2 linked regions of the Alligator mississippiensis genome follow. The protein of the gene in region 2 purifies or fractionates together with the protein of the main gene of each other region. This does not show direct contact. Links are inferred from orthologs where the notes say so. Each region holds a gene or a part of one and is shown on either strand. Other genes may lie near its edges.

What was found.
Region 1: the proteins of SLC39A7 (region 2) and FAM174A purify together in Homo sapiens (co-immunoprecipitation; 3 studies listed by BioGRID and IntAct, with this or other methods). This does not show direct contact. The link is inferred for Alligator mississippiensis from reciprocal best matches to the Homo sapiens genes SLC39A7 and FAM174A.

What each region holds. Positions count from the first base shown.
Region 1 is NC_081826.1:235,736,942-235,744,911, forward strand, and holds the start of FAM174A (membrane protein FAM174A), read right to left. Parts: upstream 3,014-7,970; 5' UTR 2,962-3,013; coding exon 2,687-2,961; intron 1-2,686.
Region 2 is NC_081834.1:64,752,323-64,760,200, reverse strand, and holds the start of SLC39A7 (zinc transporter SLC39A7), read right to left. Parts: upstream 3,005-7,878; 5' UTR 2,896-3,004; intron 2,126-2,895; 5' UTR 2,113-2,125; coding exon 1,516-2,112; intron 1,421-1,515; coding exon 1,252-1,420; intron 1,169-1,251; coding exon 1,091-1,168; intron 990-1,090; coding exon 852-989; intron 544-851; coding exon 394-543; intron 285-393; coding exon 88-284; intron 1-87. Other genes in the region: RXRB (retinoic acid receptor RXR-beta), read left to right, coding at 3,344-3,383, 3,784-4,007, 4,664-4,817, 5,400-5,579, 6,152-6,315, 6,501-6,630, 6,872-7,004, 7,134-7,225. UniProt on the Homo sapiens protein: Transports Zn(2+) from the endoplasmic reticulum (ER)/Golgi apparatus to the cytosol, playing an essential role in the regulation of cytosolic zinc levels.

The sequences.
Region 1 (7,970 bases), on a different chromosome or scaffold from region 2:
GGAGTTTTTGTTATGTACCTTATATAATCTTAATATTTTACCTGTCTTATAAGGGTTTTTTTTCCCCTTCTGTTGTAAGCTGTTCTGACCATTTTTTGGGGAGAGGCAAAATATAAATCAAGAAAAGAAAAAGGGAAAGAAATTCCAGAGTGTGAGTTCTCAGACCTCTCTGGCTTGCATCTCTGGTGTCTGCCTGAAGTTTGGGAGATGCTGTTTTTTCCCCTACAAATCATTATTTGTAGAATAGTTTCTAGAAACCTCAGTTTACCAGATACTTCAAGCATACACACAAAAAAGGGCTCTAACCTGAACAGGTTACAGAACAAAGGAAGAAACAGGGCAATAGAAAGAAGTGGAAAAGCAAAAGAAGTTCAGAGATAGTTATGGCTAGTGTACCCAGTAGCAATCTCTCTACTACAGCTACCTATGTACCATTCAGCATTTTGCAGGCAAACAATGACTGACTTCTATGCAGAAATTAAAAGGAGGATAATATAGTGGTGATTTTAAAGGGAGGAGCTTTTGTAGTAATGTGGGGGAAAGCACAAAGAAAAATAAGAAAAAAGAAAAATTGACAGCTGTGCAACAATGAGTAGACTCACTGGCTTAAAGAAGGGGAGGATTAATCCATGAAAAGCTTTAGAAATAACAACGAAAAGTATTAAAACTTAAATGCAAATGTTTGATATAGTGGGGAAAAAAGCAGTCCTGGTAAAAGAGTCAGCGAAATCATGGTGCTATACTAAAAACAAGCTAGCAAGGGAATTCTTTCAGCAGCACTGCAAACATACTCAAAACCTAGTGTTAGCCTTTGGGGGATCAGAGTGACATGAAATGTTTGTTATACTAACATTACAACTGCCAAACAAGGACCTCTGGGCTGAACACAACTGTTCATTTACTGGGTCAAACCATAGACCTGTCTTGCCCAGTTGCCTCTGTCACTCAGCCCAGTGTGCTCTACTCAGTGCCCCTCTTCAGTATACTAGTTATACACCTTTGACCCTCACTCCTGTCCCTGTTTTGTTATCATTTGTCCCCATAAATCAGTTGCTACTTGCCTGGTAGCCTCCCTTTCTGAGGAAGGCTTTTAGTTTTACATGGGCACTGGCCCACAATCCCTCAAAGTGGCAAACGGGCCTCTCTCTCTCTCTCAGTCTGGTGTGCTCTGCTTGGCATCCCCCCTTGACGCACTGATTTTTATCCTATAAAACTTCACTGCTGCTCCTCTTTTGTCTTTTATTTGTCCCATGAGTTTAGCTGACACATATCCAATAACTCCCTCTATTAACATGGGGAACTAACTTTCTCTGTGGGCTAAAGGCCCTGTGTGTCAAACAGGCTTATGCCACTCAGCCCAGCATACTCTGCTTGGTGTCCCCCCTTGGGGCACTTGTTTTCAACCTATGACCTCACTCCTGCTCCTGTTTTCTCTTTAGTTCTCCTCCCAAATCAACTGATGTATAACCAATAGTTCTCCCTGCCCCAATATCCTACCCTGGGGGTCTTCAAAAGGAGGCTGGATAATCACCTAGCCGGGCTCGTTTGACCCCAGCATTCTTTCCTGCCCGTGGCAGGGGGTTGGACTTGATGATCTACTTGGGTCCCTTCTGACCCTACCTACTATGAAACTATAACAGGGCAGAAGCCAATGACGATGCGCAGGGGGTGCAAAGGGGTGCATGTGCACCTCCTGAGAGCGCTGGTGCACCCCTTGACAGCCAGCGGGGGGCCCCTGACAGCCAGCATTCCCTTAGGTGACAGGTGGGGGGGCAGGTGGGAGCACTTGTGCCCTCCCTGAGAGCACCAGCCGGGGAGTAGGGCTGCCAGGAGAAGCGCTGCTGGCACTTCTGGTTGCTGACTAGCCACTGGAGAGCAAGCGTCCTCCCTGACTCAGAAGGCACCAATCGTCCATGATGGAGTATAACTATTACGCCATGGGCATCAAGCCTGAATTAACCCTATGTGTCAAACAGGCCTGCGTCACACAGCAGCAGACAGGAAGAACGAACTGGCTACAACCAGGATTTTTTCCTTCAACTGTTCCCCTTTCACTTGCAGCCTCCAGTACTTACGCATTTATACTTGTGCTCTGGGAGTGGAGGGGTGGGGCGCTTTAATTACAGTGCTCTAATTAAAGTGCCCCGAGCGTCACGCGCACCAGTATTCCTGCGATAAAAAATGGCAGCAGGGGAACTTAAACGAGCTTTAGTTGAAGCACCCCTGCTGACATTTTCCAGCGCAGGGACGCTGATACACGTGATGCAGGAGCTTCCTGCGTCGCGGTAATTACCATGCTCCAGCAGACTCAATGAATTGGCCATCGTGTGACTGAGGCGATTAATCGAGCCTGCTCTAAGGCGCTGTCGCTACAGCCTCAGTTCTGCTTGTGCAGAGGCGCCCTTAAGGTGCAGGAAGCTCTAATTCAGAAGCCCTACCAAGCCTCCCATTTTGCACAGGCCACAGTGTCCAACAGCAGCTTAGACGGGACACTTCGCCAGCCTTTCTGCCCAGGGCCCCATCGTCGCAACCTGGTGGGGCTGGAAGCTGAGCGGACACCGGCCCCGAGCACAGGTGCTGGGCTGTGGCCCGCGGGCCGCGGGGGAGGGCGCGAGCAGCAACCCCATGGGAAAAGGGGGTGGGAAGTGGGGGTGCCTAGCACGGCACGGCGCGGCGCGGCGCTCACCGCACGGTCCGGATGACGAAGTAGACAATGAGGGCGGCGCTGGCCAGCACGAGCACGGACAGGGCGCGCTGGGTCATGGGCGGGGTCTGCGGGGCCGGCGCCGACACGGCAGGCAGGCCGCTACCGCTGCTGCTGCTACTGCCGCCGCTCGGCGTGGCCCCGCCGGGGGCGGCGGTGAGGGACGGCGAGCGGGGCTGCTGCTGCTCGGCCCGGGGCTCCGCGCCCAGTGCGCCCAGAACCAGCCCGGCCAGCAGCCAGCGCAGCGCCGGCCCCATGGCGCCGGCCCGGCCGCCGCCTCCCCGCGCCCCGCGGCCTAAGCGCGGCCGGGCCCTGCTGCGGCGCCGGAACCGGAAGCCCGCGCTGAGGGCGCTGCCACGGACGCTCCCGCCGGCCCGGCTGTTGCCATCACGTGACCGAGGCGCTGAGCTCCCAGCCCCTGCGGGGGAGGGGGTCTGCGCATGCGCGGCTGAGGCGCCGGGGCGGTCCCTTGTGCTTGAGTCACAGGCTTAAAGCCGCTCCGCTGGGAGCTTGGTGGCTTCCACCATCTGGTGCCCGCGGCCTGGGGCAGGCGGTTGGTGGGCGGGGTCTGGGTTCAATCCCAGGGTCAGACCTGCCTTGTGGCAGGACCTTGGAGACAGATCAGCCTCTTTCTACTTCTCTAGTGTCCTAAGCACGAGGCTGCAGTCAGTGCTCCCCCTCTCAGCTCCACAGCCTCAAGCCCTTTGTCCCGGGTCGGGGCGGACCTGGGGTTGCACGGAAGCGGAGTGCATCATGGCCGGTAAAGCAACCCATGGGTTTACAAAGCAGAGGAGTAGGCTTAAAAGGAACTTAAAGAAGCCATCGAGTCCAGCACTTCTCAAACTTTTTTTGTACCAGAACCCATTTGTAAATGTTGATGGCCAGTCCTGACCCAGTGCCCCCCACCCCCAGCCTCCCAGTGTGCGGGGCAGGATGGGGGGCCCCAAGTAGCTCCTCGCAGGCTGCAACTCTGCCAGCCTGCAAGGGAAAGGCCACAGCTTCCCACTTTTTTCCCCTTGATCCATTTTTGAAAGGTTTGTTCACAACACTTTCATATATTTTTGCGACCCATAGGTTGAGAATCACTGATCTAGTCCAACCCCCAGCCCAAGGCAGGGGGGGTCTTGTGTCTCATGATCAAACCTGCAGCCTTATAGATTCATAGATATAGGGTCGGAAGGGACCTTGTAGATCTAGTCCAACCCCCTGCCCTGGGCAGGAGAGAAAGCTGGGCTCAAATGACCCCAGCCTGGTAAACATCGAGCCTCCTCTTAAAGACCCCCGGGGTAGGAGCCAGCACCACTTCCCTTGGAAGTTGATTCCAGATCCTAGCTGCCCTGGCAGTGAAATAGTGCCTCCTGAGTTCTAGTCTAAACCTACTCTCTAGCAACTTATGGCCGTTATTCCTTGTTACTCTGGGAGGTGCTCAGGGGGAACAAGGTCTCTTCCAAACCCTGTTGGTCTACACTAGTAAGTTTATAGATGGCCACCAAGTCCCCCCTCAGCCTTCTCTTGTGGAGGCTGAACAGGTTAAAGTCCTGTAGCCCCTCCTCGTAGGGTCTGCCCTGCTGTCCCCGGATCATGCGGGTGGCCCTCCTTTGGACCCTCTCAATGCTGATCAGCATCGCGTAGAGGGGGAGGATCACCTTGGCCCTGCTTGTGGTGCATCTGTGGATGCACGACAAAGTACGGTTAGCCCTACTGACCATGTTCTCGCATTATCGGCCCGTGTTCATCTTGGAGTCAATAATGACCCCAAGATCTCTTTCTGCCACCATGCTTTCGAGAAGGGAATTCCCCAGCCTATAGGTATGCTGCTGGTTCCTACTGCCCAAGTGCAGCACCCTGCACTTGTCAGTATTGAATCCCATCCTACTTTCATTTGCCCACCCCTGTAACCTGTCCAGGTCCTGCTATAATCTGTTCTTCCCTTCCCACCTCACCCCAAATCTTGGTGTCATCTGTGAATTTAAACAGGCTGCTCTTCACCTCATTGTCCAAGTCACTAATAAAGAAATTGAACAGTGCGGGCCCGAGGACCGAGCCCTGGGGAACCCCACTGCCCGCTTCCCTCCAGGTTCAAAATGACCCATCCACCACCACTTTCTGAGTACAACCCCTCAGACAATGTGCAATCCATCTGACTGGCGTCTCCAGGTAAAGACAAACTAGTAGCTTTGTCAATATGCCAGGGGCCCAGGGCTGTGTGCTTCTCTTTAAGACTGAAGATTCACACTGAGATTGGTCGATGGCGCTGCCGGCTTCTGCGAGTGCTCACCACTCGCGCCCCGCCCTCCCCCCCCCCCCCCAGCAGCAAGAATCTGCAGGTGGTCACTCACCACTCACTACCCCCCCCTCGCTGCCGCTGGCAGCGATTGCAGGTGGTCCCTGCTCGCCACCCCTCTCCCCCCTGCTACTGCCAACGGCATCTGTGGGTAGTCCCCACTTGCTGCTCACTCCCAACACCTACAAATGCTGGCCCTCCAGTCATCCCCCCAGTCAGCCCTCTTGGGAGGCACCGGTCATTCATGCCAGGAGTAGTCAACAGACAGCAGAGGTGCAGAACAGAGGCCAGCTTCAGTGGTGGAACATCCACACCATTAAAACAGAAGAGAGGGGTTGTTAATACCTAGGGAGCAGAGAGTTTAGAAAGGATCCAGTATGTGACAACGAGCCAGAAAGTTAGTTGACTCCCTCAGTACCGCCTGACAGAAATGCTGTCACTGCAAAGCAGCTGGTTTTAAACTTTGAGTCGAATCAAAGGGAGGTGCAAGTGCAGCCCCCTTGGATCCACCCCTGGGTGGGGTAGTCAGCCGAGTTAGTCTGAAGCACTGGTTCCCAACCTTTTTATGCTGAGGACTGGCAAACCATGGACTGGAAGTGACTGTGGACTAGCAAACTGTGGACCAGTAGTGACTGGCATACTGCGGGCAGGCAGCCAAATGTAAAAAAGGGTTGGCTACTAGTCCGCAGTTTGCTGGTATGCAGTCACTTCCAGTCCAGCAGCCAGCCCTCCTGCGGACTGGCAGTCAGCCCTTCATGGCCATCTGTCCCAAGGGAGCAGGCAGGGAAGAGTTAACCAGGCAGCCACAGGTAAATGGGGAAGGGCGAGGAGCAGTGAGAACAGTGAGAAGGGCTCTGGGTTGCTGAGAAGTGTGGGGGGCAGCAGGTCAGCAGGGAAGAGGAGCCAGCACAGCACTTTAGTGTAACATGAGCTGGGTTACATGAATCAGAGCTAGTCCTGACCTAGAGTAGCATCACTTTGAGCTGCCCATTGAGTGCTTAAAAGTAGTTTTAGGTGTTGATGCACAGACAATCCAGGGGTGAAGAGCTTTAGGAGCTTTCCCAAATTACTGGCCTACAAGATGCTTGGCTTTCCTGGAGTTCAGATGACAAAAGTTGCACTTGCTTAATAATTTTAAAGAAAGTTAAAAAAAAACAGTTAAATGTACTGTTAGTGAAATGTCTTGGATTTGAGATGATTTGTTTGCTTTTCCCCCAGATGAACAGATTTGAAATTGTAATGCCACTTTTTAACATCCAACAGATGTCTATAGCATATAGGGCTAGTAAACAATAACAAATTAATGAGTGAGATATAAATTATGGGATTTTTCAATATATTATTGAAACACATTCATTGTCCAGTTCAGATACTATTGTTTTAAAGCTGCAATCCATATGATTTCAGGTAAGTCTGAGAGCCAGTATATAAAGTCAGCCAAGTTTATAAGCTTGTAACTAATACTCATTTATTATTTGGGAACTGGAAAAGGAAAAGGAGGAGGAAAAAACACAAATGGTGACATTCTGCAATCATTCTGATGCACAGAATTTCTGAAAGAGATTACTTGGGGTTATATTCCTACATTTCCTTTGTAAATTGTAGAAATCATCTCACTTACAGTGGAAAACGAACTTTACCTTTCATATGTCTTAACTCCAAAGGATGACAGATCATAAGAGCCAGTAAAGACCTTGAGACTGCTAAATTGTCCATTAAAATTAATGGAACTTACTTGACTTTTACTTTGAGAAAACCGAAATTGGGCAATTCTTTTTGAATTCTCAAGATAGATCTTGTAGATGAATTGTGAGAGCTGAGAAATTGCATTGCAGATCATTATGTGTGTGTCAAGAACGTCTGGGCAGGGGGCTTTTCATCAGGAAATAAAGTGATAACTCAGGAAGACACTGAGGAATTCTGAAACAATGCATGTTCCAGTTCTTTCTGCTGGTTTAAGTAAAACTGCCTGTGTACTTTCTGATATTAGGAGATCTAGAGGGCATTATACAGAAGACATCTATCTGCTCTTACTTTAATCCCTGCAGAATGGTTTTCGTGGGTCCTGGGAAATGAAGTAGCAGTTTGCAGATGATAGTCTTTCAATCCATATTCCAGCTCTCAGAATGTACAGGTGCAGGTTCTCATGTTACCTACAAAAAGAAAATATACATATATTAGTCAGTATGCTCTGAGTCAACAGTTCCAAATCCTGCATGTTCTAATTATTTAGTAGTAATATTAAATTAATGATAATACCTGAGAAGATCATCATTTGAGTCTATTTGTTTTCACCTCCATCCAAGTAAAAGTAAAGTAAAGGAAAAGTCTGGTACAAAAAAATAGAACAAAAGTGTATGAGAAGGCCTGTGCTTGGCTTTTTCCTCTCTATTATGTGCAAACTAGGAGAACTATGAAATTCAGTAGAAGATTAGAAAATATTTTAAGATGGAATTTGGCTGTCAGTTTTATAAAGACATGTTGCAGACATTTTTAGATTACTATTATACATATACTAGCCAATTGCCCATCAAGAATCACCTGCAGGGGCAGGAGGCAGACTGGCGGGAACAGAGTGCTGGCACTCAGCGCCCCACGGTGCTGCCGCTCTGCCTCTGGCCCTGTGTGTCCCACCCCCACCCCTGCATCCGGCCCCATGCGCCAGAGCGGGAGAGGCCAGGCCAGCGCTGTGCCACCAGCACCCCACACAGGATGCTGTTGTATGTGGCGGTGAGGCTGCATCTGCCTCCGGCCCCATGCACCCTCCCCCACCCTCTGCATCTGGCCCCATGTGCAAGAGTGAGGGGATGAGCCCAGCACCACAGGCTTCACCCACCTGCTCTGGCTCTTCAGTCCCTGTTGTCATGGGTGGGGTGGGGGGGATGGAGCCCTGCGTCCAGCCCCATTCCCCCCCTGCTCCCGCCCTGCTGCTTTGGGTCCAGGCCCATTTTCCCCTCTCTCCATCCCCCTCTGCCTCCAAGG
Region 2 (7,878 bases):
CTGGACATCAGGATGCCCCCTAAGGGACGGAGGTCCTGGAGGGTGACTCCCAGGGGAGGGGGTGGGAAGGGAGTGGGTCCATGTTACCTTGCGCTTGCTGCAGCCAGACTGAACGAGGATGGCGAAGTCCCCGACCTCATGGGGCACCTCGTGCAGCAGAACAGTGAGCGTGGTCACAGCCCCCACGCCGGTGCCCGCCAGAAAGGAGGCCCCGATGGCCAGCCCGTCTGTGAAGTTGTGTGCCAGGTCGGCTGCCAGGTTCAGGTAGCCTGACACCCGCATCGCTGCAGTGGGGGACAGGGGTGGGGGCCAGTGAGAGCGAAGGACTCCCTATCCTGTGCCTCCCCCCTCTAGCCCCGACCTAAATCCCAGCCCCCTTGCCCCCTCTCTCACTGGACTCCAGGGTCCCCGGCTCGCGCTCCTGGCCTCTCTTCCTCTGCACTGCCATGTCGGGGACACCACTCCGGCCGGCCTTCCTCTCCCGCAGCCCTTCGACCCGGGGCCCCTCATCCTCCTCTCCGGAGCTGCTCTTTGCCTTGGGGGCTATGGAGAGACAATGGGGCATGAGATCATGTACACAAGGTTACAGGGACCCCCGCACCACCCCCCGGCCCCATCCCCTCAGGAGCCCCCTCCCCCTCCTCAGGGATTATGTATGACCCCTCTGAGAGCTACCTGCTGGGGACAGGAGCTCCCCAGCCCTTGCTAGCAGGGAGATGAAGGCTCTGCCTCACAGGCTGCGATGGCGGGTCCTAATGAAATTCCCTGAGCCCCAGCAGGGACCAGGAATGTGGCTGGAGGGAGACTGTAGGGGCCCAGGAAGAAGAGGGGTGTTCCTAGACTGCACGTACCGTGGCTTTGCCCATTGTGGCTGTGCCCATGTCCGTGTCCCCCCTTCACGTGTCGCACAAATTTCTCCACCACCAGGAAGGCAACAATCCCGGCCAGCACCCAGATCCCCACTGACATCATCTGCTCATGCTCTGGCCCTGGGGGTGGCAGGACCAGCGCAGGGGGTCAGGGTGTGGCTGCAGCTTAGCCACCCTGTACCCAACATGCTCCCCCCTCCCCTGCTCACCCCCACCTTTACCTTGGTGGGAATGTCCGTGTCCAGGCACCTGTGGGTGGGAGTGGGTGTGGCTGCCCTCTGCGTGGTGGGAATGGGGCACTGGGGAGGGAAGAGGCCAGAGAGATCAGGGATGAAGGCAGGGGCACAGCCCCTGCCCCCTCCCAAGCCAGCCTGGGACTCACCCAGGGCGTGGGGGATGAGGTGCAGGAAGGCATCTCCCAGGAGCCCTCCTGAGGCAAAGCTGAGCAGCAGCTTGAGCAGGGCCTGGTGCTGGGACGTGTTGGACTCCACAGGAATGAGGAAGAGAATGAAGTAAGGGGCAGCGCTGATCAGCAGCGTGGCACCCACGGCCTGGAGAGTGAAAGAGAGGAGAGACGTAGTCAGGCAGCCACTGGAGCCCTGGTGTGCAGCTCATGACGCCTCCATCATGCTATGCAGGAACTTACATGGGTCCACAACTGGACTGGGTCCAGCCGCTCCTGTGGCAGCTGCTGGCTGGGGGAGTCCTCTGCAGGGTGCCTAGCATCAGCCTGCCCAGGGCCATGGAGACCCTCGTGGGCATGACCCAGGTGGATGTCAACGTGCAAGTGATCATGGCCATGGTGCAGGTCATTGTGCGAATGGCCATGGTGAGCATGGCTATGGCCATGGAAGTCCTCGTGCACGTGGCCATGGCCGTGGAAGTCCTCGTGCACGTGGCCATGGCCGTGGAAGTCCTCGTGCACGTGGCCATGGTCATGGAAGTCCTCGTGCACGTGGCTATGGTGAGCGTGGCTGTGCCCGTGGGAGAAGTCTTCATGCGAGTGGCCGTGGTCGGCGTGGCTGTGGCCATGGTCCGGGTGCTTGTGCGAGTGGCCATGGCCATGGTCCTCATGCGAGTGGCCGTGGGCAGCATGGCTGTGCCCGTGGTGCAAGCCCTCGTGCGAGTGGCCATGGAAGTCCTCATGCTGGGAGGCGGTCGGTATCAACACCACGCAGGCCACCATGACTGCGAGTGGGCTGCAGAGTCCTGTTCGGCTCCGCGCTAGGCGAGGGGCTGCCATTGTACTGCCGCTGCTGGGAAGAGGGAGGGGAAATATGCCCCTCGCTGTCAGGCCCATGCTGCCCCCTGCACGTCCCGAGGAGGGAGGGGGTCAGTGCAGGGCCACAGGCTGGGGACGAAGGGATGGGGAAAGATCTGAGGGGAGGTAGAGCAAGATCATAGGGGCAAGGGAGGGGGTCCAGACACCCCCAGCCCAGCTCCAGGGAGGCAAGGGAGACACAACCCTACAGACTCATGGGGGGGGGGGGGCGGGGCGGCAGGATGCAACATAGAGTAGGAAGGAGGGGCCTAGAGTGGTGCCTGCGGAGGCGTTCGCTGAGGGTCACGTGGTTCTGCGCGTCCCAGGGAAAGCGCCACCATGGACTGGGTCATAGAGACGGACGGGAGAGCAGCTAGAGCGTCGCTGGGGGCGCCCGTCTCCTCTTGCCCACGTCCTCACATCCGGCTGGCCCTTCCGGCCCTCGCCACCCAGAGGTTTCTATGGTCCCCGCACCCAGGGCCCTTCTAGCCTCGCGGTCCACGCGCCGCCCCTCGTCTCTGTGGCCACGGGGAAGGAGGCCATGAGCTGCCGCTCCGGCCAGCCTTCGCTCTGTCCCTATGGCCCACAGAAGGGCTCCGCGGCGCTCCTCCGGCGCCGGGCGGCCCCTCTAGCTCCCGCTTGTCTCTATGGGCCCGGCCGTCCACCGCCGCGTGCCCCTGTGGGGCGCCACCCGTGCCGCTCTACGCCCCGGGGGGACCTGGCCCCTCTGCCCCTGCCCGTCTTTGTGCCCTGGGGGTTGCTCACCGTGCCTGGGATCCGCTACCTCAGGCTCGCCCTTACGTGGCACTCAGGCTCCGCCCCGCAGCATCTCGCGGGACCAGCCCTCAGCGTCGGCCCCTCCGACGCGGAAGGCGCTGCCCCTCACAAACATGGCGGCCGCCACAGGCCCGGGAAGCACCCTGTCAAGGCGGGCTTGCCCCTCACAAAAATGGCGGCCGCGCATGACCTAATCTTGCCCTCACCGACATGGCAGCCCTGCAGTGTCCGGGAGCCATCTTTGTGAGGGGCAGGGGAAGGCCGGACTAGCGACCGCCATCTTTGTTGCGGGATGATGAAGTTTCTAACCCCCCTCCCAGCCCAAGAGCGGACAGTCTGGGACGTGCCCGCCCCGGTGACTCACAAGGGGTGTGCACAGGTGCGGGACACCGCGTCCCCACGGTCACGGGAGGACTGTTTGGAATGAACTGTCTCTATGGTGCAGGGGGAGCGGGCGTGGGAGCCTCGTCTCTATGGTGCGTGTGAAGGCGGTTTGGCGGGTCGCGCGCGGGGACCGAGCGGGACGCGCCGTCTCTATGGTGACAGCGAGGGACAGCGGGCCGCGGCGCGGTGCAGGCCGGGACGACGGCGGCCGTGCAGGCGCGCGCGGGGCATGCCGGGCCGGGCCGGGGCGGGCGGCGGCGCGGTGCAGTGTGGGAGTGCGGGTCCCGCGGCGGCGGAGCAGGCCGGAGCCCGGGGGTGCGCGGCCCGGAGCCCCCGGGCGGGGCGGGGCGGGATGGGAGACAGCGACCGCGGTGAGCGCGGGGCTGTTGCCATGGCGACGGGGGGGGGTCACGTGCGGCGGGCGTGGGCGCGAGGGCGGGGTGGGGCGGGGTCGCGGGGTCAGAGGTCACAGCCCCGTGACCCCTCCCCCAGACTGCCGCAGCCCGGACAGCTCGTCGCTCAGCTCGTCGCCGCCGCCCCCGCCGGAGCCCCCGGCCCCGCTGCCGCCCTCCATGATCGGTGCGGCCATGACCTCCGCCCTGGGCTCGCCCGGCGCCAGCCTCGGCTCCCCCTTCCCCGTCATCAGCTCCTCCATGGGCTCCCCCGGCCTGCCCGCCACGCCCGCCGTCGGCTACGGGCCCGTCAGCAGCCCGCAGGTAGGGCCGCGCCGCGCCGCGCCGCCATCACGCGGGTCACCCAGGGGTCGCGGGGGGGTCACGGGGTCACCCAGGGGTGGCCGGACCTCCAAGGGGGCAGGGGGGGGGGGTCGCGGGTCACCCAGGGGTGGCTGGGCCACCAAGGGGTCGCGGGGGAGGGGGGTGGTCTTGGTTGTAGTGAGGGTATGGAGGGGATTTCGGGTGGCCTGAGGGGGTCACCAGGGGGCATCGCAGGTGACCCGAGGGGGTCCTGGTGGCCCGAGGGGGCGCAAAGGCTTTGCGGGGAGTGGGCAGGGCAGGGGCTCCCCCCAGCCTTGGCGGGTGGGCAGGGGATTAGGGGCAGGTGCTCCCCCAGTGCAGCTGGGTGGGGGCGTGTGGCTCGCTCCCCGCACTGATCCCTTCTCCCCTCCCCATAAGCAACTGGTAGACGGGGCACGTTGGGGGGGGCTGAGATTGGCCGCTGCTGGCTTGTGCGGGTGGTCGCCGCTTACCGCGTGCACCTGCCTCGCTGTCGCCAGTGGTGTCTGGATGGGCCCCGCTCGCTGCTTGCCCCCCTCCCCCACTGACGCTGCCATTTACAAATGGTGGTGCCGCCCCCCCCCCCCCAGTCTCAGGAGGCACCAGTTGTTCATGCCTCTCTGCTCTTCCCGGCACAGATCAACTCCACGGTGAACCTGTCAGGGCTGCACTCGGTGAGCAGCTCAGATGACGTGAAGCCGCCGTTGGGCATGCGGGGGGTTCCCTGCCACCCCCACGGTGGCATGATGCCTGGGAAGCGCCTCTGCGCCATCTGTGGGGACAGGTCATCAGGTACAGGGGGTGCAGAGCAGGGCAAGACACCTGGGCCTTACCTTGGGCTCCTGTCTCCTGCTGGGTTACAGTGCTAGGGGGGAGCCTGGATCCCTGGGTTCCTACCTGCTCTGGGGCGCAGCAGGGTCTGGTGGGTTAAAGCAGGGAGAGGCTGCCAGCTTGGATGTCTGGTTCTCCTGTCTCATCTCTGTCACTTAGGGGGATCTGGTGAGTTAAAGTGGGTGAGGGCTGACAGCTAGGATGCCTGGGTTTTGCTCTTCCACCTCTGGGGAGCAGTGGGGTTTGGGGCCGTGAAGAGCCCAGGCACTTGGGTTCTGTCCCAGCTTTGGGGAGAGGGGAGCAGGGGTCTGGGAGCCAGGATGCCTGGGTTTGATCACAGCTCTGAGGAGTGGTGCAGTCTTGGTGGTTGGCCAGACACCAGAAACCTGGGTTCTTCCCTAGCTCTGCTGCATCTGGTGGGTTGTAGGAAGGTGGCACCGGGCCCCAAATGCTGAGTGCTGAATCCCAGGTGCTGAGTTTTCACGCTTGGAGGTCAGGCCCTGGACACCAGGGTCCTTGCTGAGCCCCGCATCTTCTATGCAGGTAAGCACTATGGCGTGTACAGCTGTGAGGGCTGCAAGGGTTTCTTCAAACGGACGATCCGCAAGGACCTGACCTATACGTGCCGGGACAACAAGGACTGCGTGGTGGACAAGCGCCAGCGCAACCGCTGCCAGTACTGCCGCTACCAGAAGTGCTTGGCCACCGGCATGAAGCGCGAAGGTACCTGCCTGGGTACGGGGCTAGGGTCTGGGGCTGGAGCTAGCACTGCTGGGCTACTAGTATGAGGTATGAAGGGTAAAGGTATTATTCTGAGAGCAGGGTTAGCACGTAGGGAGCAGGAAGCATGTGCTACCTTGATTGGGGGTAGGGCTAGAGCCTGGGGGTGGGGCTTGCACTGTGGGACCACTAGCTTGAAGTATGAAGGTACTTGTCTTGGGGCAGGGCTATGGGCTAGGGGGTGTGGCTAGCACTGCCAGACTACTGGCAGGAAGGGTGAAGTCATTTCACCTGTGGTTAAGGCTAGGAGTGCTAGGGGTGTAGCCAACCCTGCTGGGATGGGGCCAGGGCTGATGGGAGCAGAGCAAATGTGCTGGGTGGGTGGGTGGGGCTAGGTCCCAGGGGGTGGGGCCAATGTGCTCCTCCCAGGAGGGCCTGGCTGCTGGAAGAAGGAAGATTCCCATACCCTGGGGCGGGGCTGGGGGCAAAGGGGCAGGGTTAGTGCTGCCAGAGGGGGATGGACCATGGGGTTTGGAGGGCTGTGGCTGACCTGGAGACCGCCCCCCACCCCCCAGCGGTGCAGGAGGAGCGGCAGCGGGGCAAGGAGAAGGAGGGGGACAATGAGCTGGGGGCCAGCGCCAACGAGGAAATGCCAGTGGAGAAGATCCTGGACGCTGAGCTGGCTGTGGAGCAGAAGTCGGACCAAAGCGTGGACGGGTCGGCCAGTGGCGGCAGCTCGGTCAGCAGGGGGAAGGGGCGGGTGAGGAGGGGAGAGGAGGTGTCCTGTGGGGACTGGGAAAGAGTCCTGGGGGGAGAAGAAGGCTGCAGCTCCGTGCTGGGGACGTGGGGGGAGCACGGTGGGGATCCCAGCAGCACCAGCCTCTGATTTTCCCCCCTACCCCGCTCCCCATCCCGATCCTGCAGCCCAATGACCCGGTAACCAACATCTGCCAAGCAGCCGACAAGCAGCTGTTCACGCTGGTGGAATGGGCCAAGCGCATCCCCCACTTCTCTGAGCTGCCCCTGGACGACCAGGTCATCCTGCTGCGGGCCGGTGAGTGTGGGGGGGTGGGGGGGAGGAGGAGGAGGAGTTAGACCTGCTGGCTTGGGGGAAGGGGCGGGGGGCAAGTATAGGGAGGTCAGGGGAGCCAGGATGTCTACCCCTGCCCTGCTGGTTTGGGCTCTGTTTTTTTACTGTGGGAGGGTCTGGAGATGGAAATGATGGAGGGTAGAGGGGGTTGGAGATTGCGGGGGGGCTGGCCCAGTAGTGACCAAGTTCCCCTGGCTTCTGGCAGGCTGGAACGAGCTGCTGATCGCGTCATTCTCGCACCGCTCCATCTCGGTGAAGGACGGCATCCTCCTGGCCACAGGGCTGCACGTGCATCGCAACAGTGCCCACAGCGCCGGTGTCGGTGCCATCTTTGACAGGTGGGGGGCGGGGGGGGCCGAGGGGGCTGGGGAGCCAGCACTGAGCTCCCCTCCCCTCCCCTCCCCCGGCTGGGGCAGGGTGGGGGTTCCAGCCCCCCAGCTGACGGGTTCCCCCCACCCTGTCTCCAGGGTGCTGACGGAGCTGGTGTCCAAAATGCGGGACATGCGCATGGACAAGACGGAGCTGGGCTGTCTGCGCGCCATCATCCTCTTCAACCCAGGTGCGTGGGCAGGGACCAGGCTCAGGCAGGAAAGCAGAGCTGAGCCCTGAGTTAGTGACTCAGAACCGGGGAGCGCCTGGGACCGGCATTGTCCCTGGCACTGCCATTGTCAGGGCTGCACTGTGGCTGCTGGGCGTAGCTGAGGGAGCTGGGGTTTCCTAGGCTGGGAGGCTCTGCCAGAGGGGATTTTCTTTCTCCGGCTGCTATAGGGGTCCAGCAGCGCTGGGTGGTGGCTACAGTTCAGACTGGGGCCAGTGACAGGACTGTCCCAATGCTGCTGGCGGTCACCCCCAAGGGGTCCTGCCTGGAGGGTATTGCACCTTAGCTCAGGGTCAACCTGATGCTGCCTTGGGGTCAGGAGGGAGCTTCCCCTTGCGTTGGGGAGGGGGGCAGAGGTGTTTCTTCCTTTCTGCAGCAGGGTCTGGACTCTGCTTGGCATCTCTGCCTGTGCCTTAACCTCAGGGCCTTGGGCTGAGGTTTGAGGATGCAGCCAGACCAGGACATCTGAGGGGTTGGGCTGGGGCTCGCACACTGCCTCAAGCAAGTGTTTGGTGAGCTGTGACCCCCAGAGCGCCTGGCTTGCTCTGCTTTGAGTCTAACCCAGGGAGACGTTCCCACACGCCCGTCTTCCATCCCAGCCCCTGTGACAGGCT